Drosophila melanogaster: one gene and its partner. The protein of the gene in region 1 interacts with the protein of each later gene in a pairwise test. Each region holds a gene or a part of one and is shown in the gene's direction. Other genes may lie near its edges. The genes, in order: Alh and CG16734.

What was found.
Region 2: the proteins of Alh (region 1) and CG16734 interact in a two-hybrid assay, tested with the Drosophila melanogaster proteins (one large-scale study listed by BioGRID).

What each region holds. Positions count from the first base shown.
Region 1 is NT_033777.3:7,121,013-7,126,314, reverse strand, and holds the start of Alh (alhambra), read left to right. Parts: upstream 1-2,129; 5' UTR 2,130-2,376; coding exon 2,377-2,411; intron 2,412-2,576; exon of another isoform or gene 2,577-2,675; intron 2,676-4,561; coding exon 4,562-5,040; intron 5,041-5,176; coding exon 5,177-5,302. Other genes in the region: CG10098 (uncharacterized protein), read right to left, coding at 170-896, 1,253-1,440, 1,509-1,655.
Region 2 is NT_033777.3:9,253,179-9,257,421, forward strand, and holds CG16734 (uncharacterized protein), read left to right. Parts: upstream 1-1,873; 5' UTR 1,874-1,915; coding exon 1,916-2,131; intron 2,132-2,183; coding exon 2,184-2,420; intron 2,421-2,484; coding exon 2,485-2,625; intron 2,626-2,681; coding exon 2,682-2,837; intron 2,838-2,893; coding exon 2,894-3,349; intron 3,350-3,408; coding exon 3,409-3,534; 3' UTR 3,535-3,546; downstream 3,547-4,243. Other genes in the region: CG16736 (uncharacterized protein), read right to left, coding at 3,547-3,988, 4,109-4,243.

The sequences.
Region 1 (5,302 bases):
AAAAGCATAAAAACTAAACGAAATAAAATCAGTAGAGATTGCACAAGAAAATATTTTGACGACTAAAGCCTATTTGGTAATGCCATAAGAATGCTCAAGTCAAATCCCGATGCTCAATAGAGCTTGCAAGCTAGTTTTTGGAGTATCCATATAGATAGTATTCGTTGGTCTAGCGATAGAACTTGACTTCCGCCTCGACACAGTCCTTGAGCAGTTCGTCCAGCTCGTCACTGGCGTGATCCTGCAGAGAGAAATAGTTATTTAGCTCGTCCACGCAGGAGAGCTCCAAGCTGCGCAAGTGCTCCAAGGCGGCCGGCTTGCGTTGCGAGTGTAGCTTGTGCAGCAACGTCAAGTCCGCTTCCGCTTGCACTTGGGTTAGCGGCGAGATCCTCGGATTTGGGGCAAAAACGAACGGCTTAAACACAGACTCGGCGGCATTGGGCGTCCCGGTGAACCAATGGCATGAGATTCCCTTCACCGACAGCACCGAAACGGTAGCCGCCCTCGAGCTGCTCGCATTACTGGCGGATCGCAGCGTCTCGAACATGTCGTGCTGGGTATATGTTCCATCGCCAGCTGGCTTGGGACCACACCAATCCACTGCCGGGGCCTGGGCCTCTGCATCGTGAGCAGCGGCAAAACTGGCAGCGTCATCTAATCCCTCGCTTGACTTGTTCACCACAGTGGTCACAGCCAGTCCTCCGGAGGGCAAACGCAAGAAGCTGGCCTCCAATTTCTCAGCGGCCCATACCTTGCCAGAGCAACTCACAAGCCAGGCAGCAGCTGCATCGCAAGCGATGAAGTTTAGTTTGGAGTTGTCGTGACCGTGACTGGCCACCAAAGCTCCAATCCGGTCTACAGCATCGTCCACATCTTTGGCGACAGCCAAAGTCAAGCTACAAAAAAGTTATTAGATGATTTATTATTTCATGATTTATAATAATTGTAAAAGCCTTAGTTTCTCGACAACATTAAATTTCTGATTGATTCGTTTTTAATTAACTTATGAAATAATGTTGAAATAATAGTATCTTCAAGCATTAATAAGCCCTAAAGGACACGAAAGGATTGGAATGCTAATTACAAACATCAGCCACAAAATGTCATCCTTTGAATAAGTATTTACGTTCTGCATTATATAGACTTCATATGTACATACATTTTTAGTGATGAAAGTTATTTATATTAAGTGCAAATAATTTGCTTTGTTGTGCATAGTTTGTTGATACGCAGATATTGAAAGAGAACTTACCGCACTATATCCGTGCCCAGCAGGCTGTCGCTGTCCTTGGCCTCGTTTTCACCTGCCGCCCAGGTAAGACCTAGGGCCACTCCGCGTTCATTGGCCCCGAAGTCCCCACCCCAGAGACCCGGCTGCGGTTTTTGCAATATAACACGCAACATATCGCCGCCTGTCTCGGCAGAAGCTCCACCGTCAGTCTGAAATGTGAGGTGTTTGGGTGGTGAGTCATTGATCGAGCTTCGTTTTCGGAGGAGTCTGTCTTTACCTTCCCCTCAAGCACTTCGGTGGCATCGTAGAAGCAAACCTCCGAAGCAACGTTGACGTTTTTTTCGTCCTCCGCATTGCGACCGATGATCAAAGTTCCTTCGGCACAGTTCTCGGGCAGAACAACAAAGCAGTCACCGTTGGTCATTTTTATCCGTGCTTTTCTCGCGAAGAAGTTTCTTCAGAAGTGCGCGAGGGAGTTGCAAAATTGATTTTTCCCACAGCTGTTTAAGGTTCAAACGTTATTCAACACTGCCCAATATATATCGTGGAAATGAACCGTGGCGATGAGCCGTTGACTCGTCTGGCAACATCGGACGTTATTTATTTGTTTAGTATGGAGAATTCTAAAAGAACTATAAGGATTAGGTATTTTAGTGTTCTATATATAAAATATTTCCTTATACATCTCCATTATTTAAATGACGAGCATTAATGTTGACAATACTATGATCCAACACCAATAAGAATTCGATTTACTTAAATTACAACCTTCATTTACACCATAATTAGCAGCATTGAATAAGAGAGGGAAGTTATAATGAATATCGGGTTTTCCTTTGAATCTGGAAAAATGCAGACAAGTCGCATCCCATCTCTAAGCATTTTACCCTTCTCTGATAAAGTACCCATCGCTAGAAATCTGCCCATTCGTCTGGTAACCGAGGTTTTTCTTGTTTCGGCGTTAAAATGCTCAAAAACCTGTCTGCATAGAAGGAAAACGCGGAACGTCTCGGAATTGCAAGCTTTTCGCGATATTCGGGCAATTGGAAAAACCGCGCATCCAGCAAAATTGTATCCACTAAGCTGCATTTGTATACAGAGCAGGTGGTGTTGTCTCCCTCTCGCGCCCGCACTGCTCGCTCCCGATGTGCGAGCGAAACAACAACAAACAAGTTACAAGGTGTGTGGAGTGGTGTGTGCTGCTGGTGTTGTTGTAGCTGTAGTTGTAAATACTCGCGCACACAGTGTTGTTGTTGCGCTGGTGGATGGTGTTGTTCAGCGCCTTTTTTGAGTGTTGATTATTTTACTTGCGTGCGTTTGCTACTCGTGGGCGGCTGTGAAGACTGTGAGACGCGGAAAAGTGCTGAGAAAAGCCACGAAAAGCTAGATAAACGCTAACCCACAGCTGCGGGCTGGAAACCATTTATTTAAAGTGCCAAATTGGGTAAAGAAATTTAGAAAATCAATATTCTGTGAGGGTGCTAGCGGCCAATAAGAAACCTCTGCGTGAAAATAGCAAGAAAGTCGAAAGAATTTCAAGTTTTCGATAGACCGCTCCCTGAAAAAAATAGATATTTTCTGTTTTTGTTGTGCGTTGCTTGACGACTTTGACCGCGCGCATTTTCCCCGCCGTGAAACTAGTTTCTTTTTGTTTGGTGGCACACCGCTGATGACGTTTTAAAGCCCTGCTGGCCAGTGAAATTAAAGCAATTGCCCATAAAAATCAATAAATTCAAGCCACGGGTATACACACAATTTGAAGGAAATTTAAGCAGTGCTTTAAGAGACGAGTTGCGGAAACTGGGAGAAACTACCCTCCAGTCCCCAAAAACTCCCCCGAAGGATGTTTTAAATGGGGTACATATATACATGTACACACACCCACCCGTATTCCACCCCCCAAAAGCGCGCCCCCTTTTCCGGCATTTCGTCAACATTAATGTAGCATCTCCCCGCGTGCGTGTGTATGTATCTGTTCTGCCTGACGACAGTGTGTGTTTGCTTGTGTCGAAAGTGCATTGCTCTTCATTACAAAAGCAACGTGCAGAGCGGCCTCGTTTCATATGGCCAAGTGTGTGTGATTTTACACCGTTAAGTTAGAGAACTCCAGCTAACCCGCTGTTGGCAACACGCTGGCTGCGTTTTTCTTTTTCGGCAGTTGGCAACACGCTGACCCAATAACGGTACAACTAGACCCGCACTCTCCTCCGCCGCGATCTCTCGCACAGATGCGCATGCATGAATGAAACAGAAACAGCACCCGCATGCCGTTATTATTATTATTATAATAATTGCCGTTGTTGTTGTGAAATCTCCGCGACCCACATATTTGCGTTCGATCGCACATTGGGACCAAATCGACATCCAATTGGATTCGGGGCAGGGCTGCATTTTCCTGTTTTATTTTTGGTAGCCCATTTAAATCAGGTTCAATGAACCAACACCAGCCCACGGAATGCCGCAGAAGAGAGTGTTTGTGTGTGCGTTGCCCGTTTTGTGAAAGTTAAAAATATTTGTTGTTCGTATTGCTGTGCTAAAACCTCCTATCAATATTCGGTGGCATAGCTGTTTATATTTTCGGCCGTCTTTATTTAAATGATTCGACATACATAATTAGCATGTATTATTAAGCAGCGGCAAAATTACCTTGACATTGAGAGATTATTTGTGTGTGCGTGTAAATGTTCTGCGAACGGGGCTCCATGTGCCATCTCTCTCGCTCTCGCTTCGAAGGCCAAGTTGTAAATACAAGCGCACAATTAGGTATAATATTTTATAGGGCTACTGTTTTTGTTGATGTTATTGTGGAAAAACCGAGTGCGAATGACCTTGCCAATAGACACCTGCCTCGATAGCAGCATATTATCGATAACGAGAAAGGCCGGAACCTCTATCTCAAGATCGTCGACTTCGAGCGGGGTGGAGCGGAGCTCTGATAAAAAATGTTTTATATAGACTCTACGTTCTTTAAATTATTACAAAAATGTGAAAGAAAAAAGTAAAGAGCATGCTTATTTTCTTGATAAGGAAAGCTGAACAAATAAATTTCTTATAAATTTTACTGCTAATTCCATACAAATTTGGTAAAAAGTCGTTGTTTTTATTAGAAATACTATTACAAATAAAATTCAGAAGATTCGTAAGTGCATCATACTTATGTATGTTCAACTTTTCGCTCAACTTTCAACGCTCCTCTGGTAACGTTAATTGGACCCAAATATATTGAGTTTTAAAAATCCTCTTTTTACTTAAGGAAAATTCTTATATTATATATATATATATATATATATATATATATATATATATATATATATATATATATACTTGCAGCTCCAACAAAATTCCGTCTTCATTCAATGCGAAACTGGAGCTAGACTCCAGCAAAGACGACACCATTCACTCCACAAGCTTGAACAAGAAGCTGGTCAAGATTAAAAAGTTCAAGTTGGACGATATGAAGGAGATGGTGGGCGGCTGTTGCGTTTGTTCAGACGAGCGGGGGTGGCCGGAGAACCCGCTCGTCTACTGTGACGGCCAGAACTGTACTGTGGCAGTGCACCAGGCGTGCTATGGCATTGTGACGGTTCCCACTGGACCCTGGTACTGTCGCAAGTGCGAGTCCCAGGAGCGAACCTCTCGCGTCCGATGCGAACTATGTCCCTCGCGGGATGGCGCCCTTAAGAAGACGGATAATAGCGGGTGGGCGCACGTTGTTTGCGCCCTGTACATCCCAGAGGTGCGATTTGGGAATGTGACCACCATGGAGCCCATCATATTGTCATTAATACCGCAGGAGCGGTACTCGAAGAGTAAGCTATGTTTAAATGTTTTATATTTACATATATTATTTAAAAAATGTTACTCATTGAAAAATTATAACCCCTGTTTGTTAAACTAGCCTTAGCTAAATGGCAATAATTAATTACAATCCGTTTCCATTTTCAGCTTGCTATATTTGCCAGGAAATTGGCAAACCAAATCGTGCCAATGTTGGCGCCTGTATGCAGTGCAACAAATCGAATTGCAAGCAGCAGTTCCACGTCACCTGCGCCCAGAGCCTTGGATTGCTCT
Region 2 (4,243 bases), 2.1 Mb from region 1:
AAAACATAAAAACATAAAATTAACAAGGTTTGTGTTTAAATCTGAGACCACCAGTCTTTTCTAAACTGCTCTTGCGAACACTACAACCATCAGAGATTCAAGATTCAGTTCTCTACAACTCTAAGCGAATCAAAATTTCTTAAAATTATTGTTGGAAACGAGGTATTTATGAACAAGGAAACAATCGAAGAAGCCCATAATCGTATAAAACTATAATTATAAGGTTAGATAATTGCAATTTAAAAACTTCCTGGATAGATATTCTTTCTTGGAATATATGAAAGTAAATTTTAGTGATAAATTTCACATTAAGAAATTATTCTCTTTAATTCGAATAAAAAATTTGTGACTCATATTCCAGATAAAATGACTGGATTCTTAAGACTATTGGTCGTATTTTGTGCTGTTTCAAAACTGAGCGCCCAAAGGTTAAATGCTTCTGAAGAAGAGAAAAATGCGAGAACAAACCTTTTTAAAGTTTTTAGTGAATAGATCAAATGCCGATGTCCTGAATCCACGCTCGCCTATGAATGAAAGTCAAAAAAGTGTGGACGCTCTCCAAATTGCTCCAAATTGCTCCAAATTGCCAGTGTGTGCCTTATAACCAATGTTATCCGCCGTCGGATGGTATTTTGGATACTCAAAATATCCACTGTCCAGATATATTGGCACTATGTTGTCCCTACAATCGATTACGAACAACGACTTTAAGTCCGAGCCCAAAGCCAAAAACGAGGCTGTGGAATTCTCAATGTCGGTGGTTTAAACGATATCCCAGCTGGCATTTAGTATAAATCCGAATTTGGCGAATTTCCCTGGACAGTGGCTGTAATGAAGACCGGTAACTATTCCTTTGCAGGCACACTTATTCATCCGCGGGTGGTTATGACTGTCACCTACCGGGTTGAAAATTGTGAAAACTACACAGTTCGTGCTGGGATATTGGACTTAAAATAAAATTTTGAGCTTCTACAGTCTCAAGAGATAAGGGTGCAAAGAATTATAAAGCATCCCAAATGCTGTAACGCGGCACTCTTAATCCTCGAGCAATCATTCGAACTGAACGATCATATTAATGTGATATGTCTACCTGACCAAGAAGCTGCTCCACCACCCACCTCATTGTGCTATGCCAATGGATGGGGAGAGAATGCATTCGGTAACTCGGGCCAATACACAACCATAATGAAACGGATGCCACTGCGCATTGTGGATACTGGCAAGTGTCGCGATCACTTGCTATCAATATTTGGAGCTTTTAACTAAGCACATCCATACTATGCGCTGCAGGCCAGCCAGGCGTAGAAATAGCCTACGACGATGTTGGTGGACCGCTGGCCTGTCCCCTTGGAAATCCCTCGGAAAATCGTTACCAGCTTAGTGGCATTGTGGTGTTCAGATTCTTCAAGGGACCAACCCGCATGACCAACGTATCATCGATTCGAAATTGGATTGACCAGGAAATGACTGCCAATGGTTATGATAAGTCTTACTATATCGCCTGATTAGGCCAATTAGAAAAATATTATAACTGTTTAAAAAAATAAAAACAAAACATATGTTCTTTTTGTAGAGAAAATAATAAAAAAAAATAATAAGTTATAATTATACAAATGATATATAATTTCAGTTTAATTATTAAAGAGGGTGCCACTGATTCTGTATTTCCTTTTCCTCTAATACTTGTGAAAATAAAATGAATTTTTTCATGTTCGTCAACAACATAAAACTAAAATGTTTTCTTTTTAAAAATAAGTATTGTGACGAAGTCATTTCTACTAACATTTTCACATCTGTTAAAAGTTATCTAAAAAATTCTGTTAAATCGATAGTTGCCGAGTGTTATCGGATTTGGCCGGCTTTTCTGTTTACGTTTTGGATGCTACATAATTTAAAAGAGATTTTCGAAAACAAAATGACTTGCGATGATACCACCGAAGCGCTCGCCACTCACATGTGTGAGCTGTTGGAGTTTTATATGCTGCCGGAGCTGAAGGAGGACCTGGACAACATTCAGCTGGAGACGTCGCAATTCGACAGCTACCATTCCCTACTTATCCAGGATCTGCCAAAGCTCTACGATTTGGTGCAGGAATTCCTCCTGAAAAGTGGTGATGCAGGACACGAAGAGGTTGTGCTTTGCAAACACTCAATTCCACGACTACAATCTAGTTAACTTTCAGCTAAGATTCAAGCTCCTCCTGCTGATTTGCGAATTGACAGCTTCGCCTACAATTTACCAACTAAAGGACGACTCTGGTAATCTCCTGAAGTATGCTAATGATTTGGCTAGTAAGCTGTCTTCCCATTGGTGGGAGTCGACGGATGATCAATTCCTGAAATACTACGAGAAGAAACTGCACAGGGATTGCTGGAAGAGACAACTAGGAGCTGTGCATGGTTTCGGCAGATATCTAGAGGTATACACTAACAGACAAATATTTATCCAGATAGTCCAGTTTGTTCACTTACTTTATCCCGCAGCTTCGTTACGGAAAGAAATCCGCAATGTCCACCCAAATGTTGGCTTTTGCACTATCCGTGGGTCTTAATGTGCGCGAATGCTATGATACTATCTACAAGCAACTTGGGGTCAAGATCTTCTCAGTGATGTTAAAATTTAGCGTACGTGTTAGACCACTTTAGCGCCAAGACCTTCAATGAAACACTTCATCCTTCAGGACTCCAAGGACATTCAGGAACTGAACGTGCACAGTGTGATCTATGACCATGCCCTCAAGGATGTCTACAACATGGACTCAATTGAAGCCATCGAATCTGTTTGGAACTGCCTGTATTTCTGTCTTGATCACTTTGTAGATCTAGATGCTTTCACGGTGTGTACCTTGAAACTTACTCTAGTTACTGAACATAAATATGATGGCAACTTTAGTGGAACCAATGCGACGACATGCTGGAACGCCTCATTCAGAACGTGACAATGGCCTCCAGCCCAAAAGTTTTAATCTGCCTGCTGCAGTATATCATCCGATTAGGATACTACTTCACCATCAATCGCAGCGATGTGAAAACTGCTTTGGCCATGGATATATGCGAACCAGATAAATTGGTAGCGTGTCGGGACGTATGCCTTGCTCTAAATGTTAGCACCAGCTATCGTTGGGCCAAGGCCATCCTACAAATGCTTGTCCTGGAGTCGAGCAAGCTGCTCCAAGGTGTCGAGGTATGCACTGCTTTACTGGATCAACTGCTAAGATGCTATCTGGTTTGCATCATGCCTATTCCTCTGCAAGCTTTGCATCCGCACCTGCCGGAGTTTTACGGGAAGTTTGTGGCTGTGTTAATGGAATGTTTGGTGGCCCACGAGAAGGCACCTCCAGTTCTAAAAGTATGTTATTATGTCTATATATATTTCTGGTTACATCTAACAGATCAATTTTTTCCCAGCTCGTTTCGCGGTTCATCGAAGTCTTTAGCTTCCAACTGGAAAACGGGATAACCGAAACAATGCCCGCCCAACTATCAGAATTCAAGGAGGCTCTGTCAATTGTGCACCACAAGATTTGTGAATAAATATGGGGGTCTTTATGTTATATAGCGATCTAGTAAGAAGCGATATACAAACGTTGCCAAAACAGTATGTGGGATAAGGGCCATTAGTGCCGGTTTCCATCCAAAAAAGAAGCCCTTGTAGCCATGTTTTCGGATAATTTTCCGATACAGATATGGATAGGAAGTGCGGCCATAGTGTGAGGATTCGTTTAACGTTAGAGTAGCCAACGCATCCACTGGTGTCATAATGACTGTGATAATACTGCCTGTTAGCGCCATAGTTATGAGATCGCTAAGCCACGGCTCGTCGAGTCTGTGGAACCATGATATCACTGTATGGACCTTATCACTAATAGGAGTATACAGCACGGCCACGGCTGTGCTACTAATCGAGTTTATTTTCCAACCGGTAAATAGGTAAGTAAATCCTCCCTTCGCGTACATACATTTGAGTCCTCTCCAGAAATTTCGATAGCTACAAAAAAGGGTTAACTTTCATAGCTTTGGAAGATTAAACGATACACATATAGATATTTGCTGGTTTCAAAATTAAACCGGAAAATGCCTATTTATGTTTATTCGGCCATATTCTTACTTGCGCCTCTCGTAGGATCCGCGCGTAAGATCAGCTTGCCGAATGACCGCCAGCTTGGCGAACGGTGTTGCCAATACGCCGCCCCAAAATCCGGTTATACCCAGGACCATGCTAGTGTTATACGGCTGCAGCATT